Caenorhabditis elegans: one gene and its partner. The protein of the gene in region 1 interacts with the protein of each later gene in a biochemical or structural test. Each region holds a gene or a part of one and is shown on either strand. Other genes may lie near its edges. The genes, in order: cye-1 and prom-1.

What was found.
Region 2: of the proteins of cye-1 (region 1) and prom-1, one has a biochemical effect on the other in vitro, tested with the Caenorhabditis elegans proteins (one study listed by BioGRID).

What each region holds. Positions count from the first base shown.
Region 1 is NC_003279.8:6,779,121-6,785,162, forward strand, and holds cye-1 (G1/S-specific cyclin-E), read left to right. Parts: upstream 1-1,685; 5' UTR 1,686-1,700; coding exon 1,701-1,777; intron 1,778-1,866; coding exon 1,867-2,011; intron 2,012-2,682; exon of another isoform or gene 2,683-2,754; intron 2,755-2,870; coding exon 2,871-2,949; intron 2,950-2,992; coding exon 2,993-3,265; intron 3,266-3,399; coding exon 3,400-3,788; intron 3,789-4,047; coding exon 4,048-4,221; intron 4,222-4,262; coding exon 4,263-4,634; intron 4,635-4,694; coding exon 4,695-4,760; 3' UTR 4,761-5,276; downstream 5,277-6,042. Other genes in the region: pqn-21 (C2H2-type domain-containing protein), read right to left, coding at 318-527, 648-786; acdh-5 (medium-chain acyl-CoA dehydrogenase), read left to right, coding at 5,788-5,806, 5,981-6,042. UniProt on the Caenorhabditis elegans protein: Essential for the control of the cell cycle at the G1/S (start) transition. In association with cdk-2, regulates proliferation, quiescent state and cell fate during the development of several cell lineages.
Region 2 is NC_003279.8:9,285,439-9,290,422, forward strand, and holds prom-1 (FBXO47 ARM repeats region domain-containing protein), read left to right. Parts: upstream 1-2,004; 5' UTR 2,005-2,008; coding exon 2,009-2,135; intron 2,136-2,183; coding exon 2,184-2,303; intron 2,304-2,348; coding exon 2,349-2,459; intron 2,460-2,502; coding exon 2,503-2,652; intron 2,653-2,698; coding exon 2,699-2,826; intron 2,827-2,872; coding exon 2,873-3,049; intron 3,050-3,105; coding exon 3,106-3,280; intron 3,281-3,323; coding exon 3,324-3,494; intron 3,495-3,543; coding exon 3,544-3,683; intron 3,684-3,735; coding exon 3,736-3,963; 3' UTR 3,964-4,332; downstream 4,333-4,984. Other genes in the region: rpoa-2 (DNA-directed RNA polymerase I subunit RPA2 homolog), read right to left, coding at 1-589, 752-895, 951-1,124; phac-1 (Phosphatase and actin regulator 2), read right to left, coding at 4,770-4,782, 4,850-4,984.

The DNA of each region.
Region 1 (6,042 bases):
ATTGCGCTCATAATTTTTTTTTAAATGTTAATGAAGAGAGCTATTTGCAGTAGACTATCTAAGCAATTTAATTGTTAATTTTTAATTTTTAGTGCCTTCGCTTATCTATTTTGTTTTTAATAGCCTGAATTTCCATTTCCCTAGAGGATCTCTCGAAAGTTTTGAAATTATTTGAGCAGCTACGGTAGATGCGACTTTCGTGCATTTACGCGTGGCGGTGTTCACACTGATCCCAAAAATTTTTGTTTGAAATAAATTGCTTTTTTTTCGCAATCTTTCATTCTTATTCATTGCTTTTCCGTTTACCATTTTCATACCATTTTCATCTGTTTTTTCCACTTTTAAAAATTCTTCTCGCATTTTATCAGTAGGCTCGGATATTTGTTCGTCTTTGACAAGATCTTCTGGTTTTTCATCAATTTCTAGTTGTATTTCTTCATCAATTTCCATTGGTTCAATATCATCATTCTCATCATCCTCATCTAACTCGCCGTCTTCTTTTCCAGAAGTTTCCGCTTGATCGTGAGCTAAATGCAATAATTTTCAAGATTTACGAGAAATATTTTTTTTTTCTTAAAAAAAATTTCAAACGAAATTTCAAAAAATTATTTAGAAGTTTTTGTTAATCATTGAAACAAATAACGTACCGTCATAAGTTGTTTGAAATTCGGGGGTTTCCTGCAACGGTGGAGGAAGAGGTGGGGGCGCTGAAATCGATGGTTTGTCTTCCGAATCGGACGGACTTTCATCGATCTGTAGACGACCCTCGTCCTCATCGTCTGACATGTTGCTGAAAATTTGAAAATTAAAATTTTACAAAAGATTTAATTAAAGCAATAATCAAATTTTTAAAATACAATTTGAAATGAGAGAAATTTTAAAAATAATAGATATAGTTTTGAAGGTTTTGATACTTGAAAAACGTTATCCTTATTTGGTAGCTTATGAAAACAAAACAAAAACAACTGCAAGATGTGTTTCGGATGTTTTTTCTTCATTCTCTCAATTGTCTGACATCTCCGGAGGCAGTTGCTGTGCCCTCTATTGGTACGTGTCGATTGCCTGCGTCTCTGTGTCAAGAGGCACCCTCTCATCTCTCTGGAGACGGCAGAGAAACATGAGATCGTGGTAAGACCATCAGGGAGGACGGCGGCAAATCGGAGGGAACGCGCGAAATGAGCGCGCGATTTGAATCTAGAGACCATATGACGGAGGTTGTCTGTAGTTGACCTTTTTCGGTTTTATCTGAACTTTCACAGATTGATTGCGTAATGTCCACTAGACATTCGTTATGGTATAATTGATATTTCTTTATTAATTTTCATTAAATATCAGATATCAATCTCTAAATTTCAAGCATAGAAAGTATCGTGCAAACATGAACAGTTTCATGAGCTCAGTTTATATTTTAAATTCACACCTAATTCAAATCTTAAATAATTTTTAATGGAATAACTGCAAATCTAAATCTAAAACCAAAACGACCTTCATTCACTTGTACCAAATCTTATCTGATTTTATGAATTTAAAATCTTATTCTTCTTCACCTCTGACTGATAGTTTATGTTCTCCCTATTGTGTACACTCAAAACTGCACAACATTTGTTATTTGAGCCAGTTTCAGTCGTTATCTTCCTATTTATTTGTTTTTGAATATTTTGAATAGCTCGACTTGATATTTTCAGGGAAATTTGATCAAAATGGCTGGAAGAAAGTCATCAAGGACGGCTGAACGTGTCCCCACTACACAAAAGCCAGAAAGAAAATCTGCTATTTTGTAAGTTGAATTTAGATGGATATTAGAGAACTGATAATTTTTAGACTTTATAAATATTTATTCATCTTTCGAAAAATTTTAATTTTCAGATCTCCACATGACGAACTGCGTGAACGTCTTCTGGAGACTGCAATTGATATGAAGGAAAATATTCCACAACGAAATACCCGAAATTCGAGCGTTGGAAGTCAGAAATCAGATTGTTCTGAGACAAGAAAACGACGAAGTACTAAGGTTTGTGTGCTTATCAGTGAACATTTTAAGATGGAACAAGGGAAATGAAATAGAGAGTGATAAGAAAAGTACTTTTTTAAATTATAATATTACTACTTGTACAAATGCCTAAAGAGATTTTTGCTTCTAATTTTTCGAAAACCGTAAGAAAAACTGTCAAACGATTGCGGATTGTTACTAAGCTGAATGGGGGTAAGGAATACATTTTAATTTGCCAACAAAATTAGCAAATATTTCTAGATTTAAACACATTTTGCTATATTTTCAGTTTTGAATTTAACTTATTTAGGTAACAGCATTCATCCAGAAACACAATGTCTAACAAATTAATTGAATTTCGTGGGTAACTAACTAACAGTCAAACGCTCAATATTGAGTAGTCTGGGTTCTACAGGAAACATCTCTCGTTAAATAATTTGCAAACAAAGTTTGCACTGAGAAACAGACACTTTGTATTTGACCAGTGTAATAGTGCGCCAAAATGTACTCATTCTCCCGTTTTCTTTTTTCTTCTCTCATCTCATGTTCACACCAGCACCTCAGATTTGCGAGAAAATAAGACGCAGACATCGATAGTCATAGTGACCAGTCTCTTTCGTATGCAGAACACAGTTTTGTGTCCGCTTTGTATGTCCAATACTTGTTTGCCGTCTGAGTCTCACTGTTCATCTGGGGGTATAGCTCAGTGGCAGAGCATTCGACTGCAGATCGAGAGGTCCCTGGTTCAACTCCGGGTGCCCCCTAAATACTTTTTGCATTTTGGCTTCTGCTTAGAATCATGACGATCAAATAAGTTTCCTAAATTTGAACAAAATTATATAGTGGTTCAATCTTGTTTGATAATTTATTAATTTTACAGGAAGGTCCAGCTGCAAAACGTCATTCGGGCGAGAAGCATCGAAATGGTAGCCGCGAAGATTCTTTGGAGTATATTAGTGGTAATCTAGTTTTATTAGAGTAAAAATGATATTCTGTTTGAAGAATATTCAGATGATCGTGAAGTTGGATCTTCATCATCACAATCATCAAGAACCCGTGGACAACCACTTCCAGCTATGCCTGAGGAAGAAGAAGTGTTTGATAAATCATCTTCATCTGATAATCTTGCCGAATCTGAAGAAAGTCATGAGATGGTCCGATTGGAAGAGAGACAGGATATTGAAGAAGAAATTGAGGATGATTTTGATGATGAAGAGGAGGATGTTGTTAACGATAAAGAGGAGTACGAAGAAATTGAATCTGAAGATGAAGATGGTTAGTTTCAAAAATACTCATGATGCGTTTGAAATTATTAGCATTTTAGATCAAAATTTGATAAAAAATAGTGTCTCCAAAGAGAGTATCAGTGTTTCAAGCTGAAAAACCTACCCAATTTTGATACAATTTAGATTATCCTGTCCAAAACGAAGGATTTGCCGTTACAAAACGGCTCATGAACGACGAACATATGGTTACGGCTCCAACGTTTCTCAGCACAGCAAAATGCGATGGAATAGGATCACCAACAAAAGTTTGGTCTCTTATGGTCAAACGAGACGAAATTCCACGTGCTACACGATTCTTGCTTGGAAATCATCCGGATATGGATGATGAAAAGCGACGTATTTTAATTGATTGGATGATGGAAGTGTGTGAATCAGAAAAATTGCACCGAGAAACATTTCATTTGGCTGTTGATTATGTTGATAGATATTTAGAGTCATCAAATGTTGAATGTTCAACGGATAATTTTCAATTGGTCGGGACGGCTGCTCTATTTATAGCTGCTAAATACGAGGTAACAATCAGGGGTTTCACTGACACATTTTTCGTTTTTTTTTTTTAGCAAAACCGAAAAAAATTCTAAAACACTTCAAAATCGATAGTTCTCAAACGGAATTAAATATTTATATTACGATTTACACCCTTTTTCAAAAATCCAAAAAAACCGGCAAGCCTGGTAATAATTTTAATAAAATATTTCACCGATCTAGAATTTGGGTTCAATTAATTTTTTCACAGTATAGATTCACATTAATTTTTGTTTTTTTTTTCAGGAAATTTATCCACCTAAGTGCATCGATTTTGCTCATCTCACCGATAGTGCATTCACCTGTGATAATATTCGAACTATGGAAGTTCTTATCGTCAAGTATATTGGGTGGAGTCTTGGGCCAATCACAAGTATTCAATGGCTCTCAACATATCTTCAATTACTCGGAACCGGCAAAGTAGGATTTTAAATTTTTTGTTGATTAAAATATTTTTTCAGAAGAACAAGTCTGATCACTACGAAGAGCAAAACATGTACGTGCCAGAATTACTCCGTTCAGAATATCTTGAAATGTGTAAAATTCTCGATTTTCTGCTATTTGAGATCGACTCATTTACTTTCTCCTATCGTACCATCGCTGCTGCTGTTCTTTTTGTCAACTATGAGCCAACTTGTGCTGTTGAGAAGGCTACCGGATTTATGCAGGCTCAACTTGAAAAAGTTATTGAATATGTTGAACCGGTGTGCCGGGCGTTCGCCAAACAACGACAACTTCTTGACGATGTTATTCCAAAACATGAATCAATAAAATCGGATGATTCACACAATATTCAAGTATACGTTAAAAGGAGTTCAATGGAACCTATTGTGGTAGGTGGATATATAAAATTCATGAATTAGAGGTTGTTTTCATAATTTTTATTTTTCCAGAAAAGCGAACGAGAGAGGATTCAGCATTTAAAAGCTCGCCGTCTTCATCCGCAACGACTTTTCTAAAATAACCCGCAATAGGATTCTTTTATCATCGAAATTTCTGTAGATTACTTACTTCAAATAATCATGCACACAGGTTGTCCCCGTTAATTCTTTCCTTCAATCTCTTTCTCTCTTTCACCTAGTCTGTGCCATTTCAATATGATTGCACCCCGGAAAATATCAAAAACTTCACTTAACAAGTGATCCCATATTACAAAAATATTCAAATTCCGAAAATCGAAAGATGCATTTCCGTTTTATTTTACCGAATTTTGATGTTTTTGTAATGTGTTTAAACCCCTTTTACAATTAACTTATTAATGTTTTGTTTTACTCATCTCACTTCCCCTTCTTACTTTGTGCTTATTTTATGTTTTAGGTTTTTTTATTGTATCATAAAACTGGAAATTTTGAAATAGGCTTCTTTCTCCCTAAACTTTTTTAACAGGTACTGTAACTGGTACATATCCTCTGCCCCACCCCGCTCCCAACTCGTCTTTGTCTGTTTGTTTATACGAAATACAATTTTTAACGAGTATGCGGGTTTCTGTTAGCTTCAACAATACGATCATTCAAATTTTAAAATTAAGAAACTATAAAAGCACAGTATTTACGTGAGTTGAAACAAAATGCCTTCTCCAAATTTCTTAACACTGAAAAATTTTCGGAAAAAAAGCAGAAATTACTCCGCAAAAAATTAAGGACATCATTCCAATATTTTTTTTTACTTATTTGATGAAAAATTAATATATTCCAATAAATTAAAATGAATTATCATCTCAGGAATACTGTAGAATTACTTTAAGATTTTGGCTTATTTATATTAAGTGGTACGGTAGGGGTACTGTAGGTGTATTGCAGAGTTGTAGACACTGTAAATGAAATTCCAAAGAGCATAAAATTTATCAAAAAAAAGTTTGCGTGAATTTCTAATTAATGTTTAATCTTCTTTTTTTGTTAAAATTTGTTCAGGGTTTCTTATCAAAAAATGAATCATTATTTAGTTTCTTGGCTAAAACACTACTCATCTTCGTAGTTTCTTGCCGTGATGTTTCAAGCTTTGTTAAGTAAGTTTGAGTGAATTTCTGGTTTTGGTGGAATTTATTCTGATATCGAAAGCTCTATGTCTATTCAATCAATTGATGAAAATGCGTAAATAGGGAACTATGCACACACGGCGGCTCAGACTGATGAAGCTTTTCTAGTTTTGGAGAATGAGGTCTAATTGAGCAAATTTTCAGCAAAACTCAAAAATAATGCGGCTTTGGGAGCAGCTGCAAATAACTTGAACAAGTTCAGAAGT
Region 2 (4,984 bases), 2.5 Mb from region 1:
ATTCCCGAATGATGAATCGACCAGCTTCAAGATCATCTTCCCATGGAGCAACTCTATCAGATACGGCTACTCTGAAACGAGAACCGATGGCTCTAATGGCGGCTTCTTGATTCAAAATTTCTTCTTCTTGACATTGAGCAAGCATATTGAGAATGCAAGATGAATAGAATTGATCTTGATTTCTTCCTCTTTTGAATCCAGCACTAATCACTGCATCATTCTTATCAGTTAAAGCCTTCACAATATACATCAACGGTACATAAAAGATTTCCCGTCTGAATTGAAGTGCTAACTGCATAGTTCCAGTGTCCAAATAATGAAGAGTCATCATTACAGCCGTATGATTTTCCTTAACACTTCTCATCATAACTCCAAATTCCGAGAACAATTTTCCTTTCTCTTTGAATGTTTTTCTGATAATTGCGATTGGAAAGTTTCTTCGATTCGCGATCAGCAATCTAATCACTTTTTCTGATCCATTTACAATGAAATATCCTCCTTTTTCGATTGGCTCTTCACCGGCAACTACAAGTTCCTTTCGAGACATTCCACGGAGATGGCAACCTTCGGATCGGAGCATAATTGGTACCTAAATATTTTGTTGTATAGTATTTTCTTTTTCTAATATTTGCTTGGAGAATTCAGAAAATGAAAATTTAACCTCGAAACAAGTATTTTATTTCTTAACTTTTAACTTTTTCGAAGGAAGGTGACCCAATTCTTACTTTCAACGCAGTATTTATAGAATTACCTTTCCCAAAATAATTTCAATAATGTCCAACCGGCTTCCGTTCACATGGACATCGATTCCAACTTTTAAATTTCCAGCATATGTCAGTCCACGTTGTCGACATTCCGCGGGAAGTAAAGGAAGAGTGTCACTGGTGAGCTTCGCCTGAAAATTGATTTTTAGAATTTTCAATATTTAAGATTGCAGATCAAATACTTACTCCGGTATCTAGCGTTGGCTTATGAAGTTGAGCCGACGTGAACTTCATTGTAACAGCATCGCCGTTTTTCAGACGGAATTTTTCTGCAGGAACAGCTTGGGCAGCAAATTGACATCCTTTTGAAACAAGAAAATCGAATGAATCGACATGATACGACGCTATGTCGCAGTCCATCGCCTGAAAACTTGAAAGTTTAAATGAATAATTTTTCGAACTAATACAAATGTTATAATAAAATGAAAACTACATATTCAAATGTATTTGATTATTAAATAAAAGATTTAGGGGTTGGCGAGCAGTAAAAATTAGAAATGGAAGAGAAGGAGCGACAGCCACTGTTCAGTTCGGCCACAATTCGAGGGGAAAAGAGAGGGAAAAGAAAAATGAAGAGTTAGATGAAAACTAGACGATAACAGCCTGAACTTGATTATTTCTCCAATGATAAAGGAATACGAAAACTTTCATGAAACAAACTCAAAATAAGTATTGGGACATATTATACGAAAAAATCGCGAAAACGCAAATATTGGTTATAAATACATTTATTATGAACTTGCAAATAAAATTTAATCAAACAAATCGATGAGAAAACCGCAGGAAGTTATCGGCCCACTAAACGAACGTATTATTCAGAAAATAACGGCGGATTTTAACAGCCATGAAGTTAAGGAAACGATTTTGAGTTTCTGCAGCAGTTTAATTTATAAGGAATAAAATTTAAATGAACAAGTGCTTCAAAATAATCGATTAAAAAAGAGGAAAGTGAAGAAAAGTTCGAAAAGAACCGAAAAATCGATCGAAGCCAAAGAACGAATTAAAGGCGCATTGCTTTTGTCATATGGGTCTCGCCACGACTTTTATGGGTACTGTAGTGGGGGTGTGTTCAAATTTCAAATCAATTCGAATTCCCGCCTAAATGCGAGTGACCTATATTTTGCCTCATTTTTTTTTGTTTTTTCTTGTTTTTTTAGTTTTTGATCATTTATGTGAAATATTTTTAATGTCAAGTTCTTTCTGGTCTATTACTTGATAATATCAAGCCATTTTCAGAATCCAAAATGGATAAATCAACACCCAGGCGGACTTACAATTTGCGGAGTGCTGATCGAACAACACAAAACAGTCCAGTTTCCAGACAAAGTCTAGAAAATCATCGCAATGCTTCAGTGTCTCTAAGAAAAAGAAGTAGTACTTCTTCACTTCAACGCATTCAATCAGAGTTTACATTTACAGATTCAGCCACAGAGGAACGATGTTCTCGTAAAAGACGAAGAACACAGCAAACACATGGATTACCTTTTTCATCGCCAGATGCTATTAATCATCAACGAGCATTTCATCTCGATGAGCACAGTAAAAAAATCACAAGTATTCTCCAACATACATTTTTAATTCCAGAAGTATGTTCAAAGCTTACTACAAGATTGTCGATTGAGGTGGAGACGTCGTATGGAAGTTTCGGTAAACTACCTTATGATGCCGTCATCCACATATTGACAAGAACACCATGTATGTGGTAAAATATATTTAACTTGTAGAATTAATTATTCAGACAATCTTCTAAGTCGCATGGTAATGACATCTTCCTGCTGGAATCAAACAATCGGAGCATATATGAGAAGTGGAGCTTTTCGTCGTCGCTGGCTGTTAGACATTGACATTGCGCCAAGTTCTAAACCATTGGATCCCTTCTTTGATATGGGTCAGTAACATCAACGATTTGTCTCAAACTTTCTTGTTAATTTCAGGAAAACTCGTGAGGTGCCTGACGATAAATTATGAATGGAAAGCGAGGCTAGATTGTCTGAAATCGTTTATGACACTGGCGTACGAGTCAGGTGCTCTGATTGCCGGACTTGGCAAGATGATTCATGCGGTACTATTCGTTATGCCTTGATTATTTTGAAAAATTAATTTATCAGTTCACAAATCGCCCAGACGAAGACATTGTATTGGAGCAAATTGATGACATCGTTGCCATGCTCTTGGCGCTAGTTAGTGGTCTGAAAGATGACTTGAGTGCTGTTCTTTTCACCCCCGAAACGGATCGAGAGCTGGAAGAATTAGATAATATGCCAATTCTTCGCGAAGAGATGAAGGTTTGTATCTAGGAGAACATACATATTTTCCAGTTTTAAATATTAAATATTTTCAGTTGCGGAAAAAGACATTGAATTTGTTCTTGAATAATGGATCGTCGGACCCAGCTCATGGTGTTAATAAATATTTCTTGAGCAGTTTGATGAAAGTTTTCAAAACAGCGCATAATGCACTTCCGACTGCACTTTTCTACCTTCTGTTTTCTCCGACCACAATCCAAGATGATGAAGGTTTGACATACAATTCAGTGAATAATAATTTTTGGAGTTTCAGAAGTGATTCACTGGCATCGATTGTCTTTGTTATCCGTGGTAACTTCCGAAGAAGCTGAAGAGTTAAAACCGTTATCAAGAGCAATGTGTGCTCTGATACAGTGCAGAAACTTAAAACACGTGTTGCCTTGGTCAAAGAATACAATTTTCAATTTGATGGAAGAAATTACGAGTAAATTGGACTTCAATTATAGAATATAAGCATAAATATTCATTTTCAGCATATCCAAATCCATGGTCGATGAGCACATTTGTTGCACTTAACGTCCTGGAACCGGAGCTTGTTCCCATTGGTGTTGTTGCACGAATGAATCGTAATCACGAAGATGAAGCGGGTGATATAATTTGCACTATGAAGATGGTAAGTAAATGATTTTCTATACAAAAGTATTGTAAATTTCGTGAAATTTTAGCTTCTACATCGATGGGATATGGATGTCTATGGAGTAATGGAATCTATAATTGATACGATAAAAGCAGTGCTCAAACCATACCAACGTCGTATTCTTTTTGATCGTTGTTGGGATTGGCATCAACGAAACATTGACGAGCATCGAAATCAAATGGGACACTTTTCCGACATACGCGCCGAAATTGAGAGTCAAATTGAAGTTATGCCGGTATTGATGAAACTACTGTAATTAGTGAGAAAATTATTATATCAGTATATACATATCTTGTGTCATTCTCATGTGTATTGCCTTTTCCCCCCATTTTGTTCCTCCTTTCTACGTGTGAATGTCCCCTCAAAACATTATAGATATATTAGAGCTAGAGAAATATATTCCATTTTCAGATATTTATGATTTCTTCCCCCTTTAATTAAAACATAATCTGTTGGAAACTAATAACCATAGATGGTTTTCAAGCCATTCGGCTTTAAACGTTTCCTCCTTTTTAATAATCAAATCATTTTTCCCTTGATATATCCCCTCCATAGTGCCATCACTGTCTCTAAAATCTTGTCAAATTAAATTATCATGTGCCAAAAAAAGATTTTCTTCCATTTTACGGACGTTTGTTGATTTAAGAAGCATTACAATCAGAAGCGTTTAGTATGGTACAAAAAACGAATTCTCGATAGATTAATAGCAATAGAAGACTTGGGTCAACCGGCTAGAAACTGGTAAGTGATCTATGTGTGTTTTCACATGATTTTGAGAAAATCAATTTCAAAATGGGGTGTTGGGGGGATTGAACTGAAATATTTTCAGAGAATTATCGAGATTAGAGCAAGACAAACAAAATATATATAAATCCCAGAGAATTTCGAATGAGGGGAAGGGAGAGAGATTTTTTTTGATACTTTTCAATAGTATTAATTATTTAAACAAGAAATTAGGGGAAAATTGAAGAAAGAAGAATGGGAAAAGAAAATGAAAGAAAATATGTGTCCCGAATGAAGTGTAGTATTTGTGCATGTAAATTTACTAATTTCAATCGTGTATCACCGGTGGAATCTGAAAGTTTCAAATTTACACTATTATTTTATCAAGAAAATTTAAAAATATGAAATTTTCTACAAACCTTGTGAACACGCGGCTTTCCTCATGAACATCCATTTCAGTAGCTTTAAAATCATTTAATTCTTTTCGAATCATTGCTTTATCTGAAGGTGTCAGACGGGTCCATGGTTTATCCGTTTTACGGTCATAAACTTCC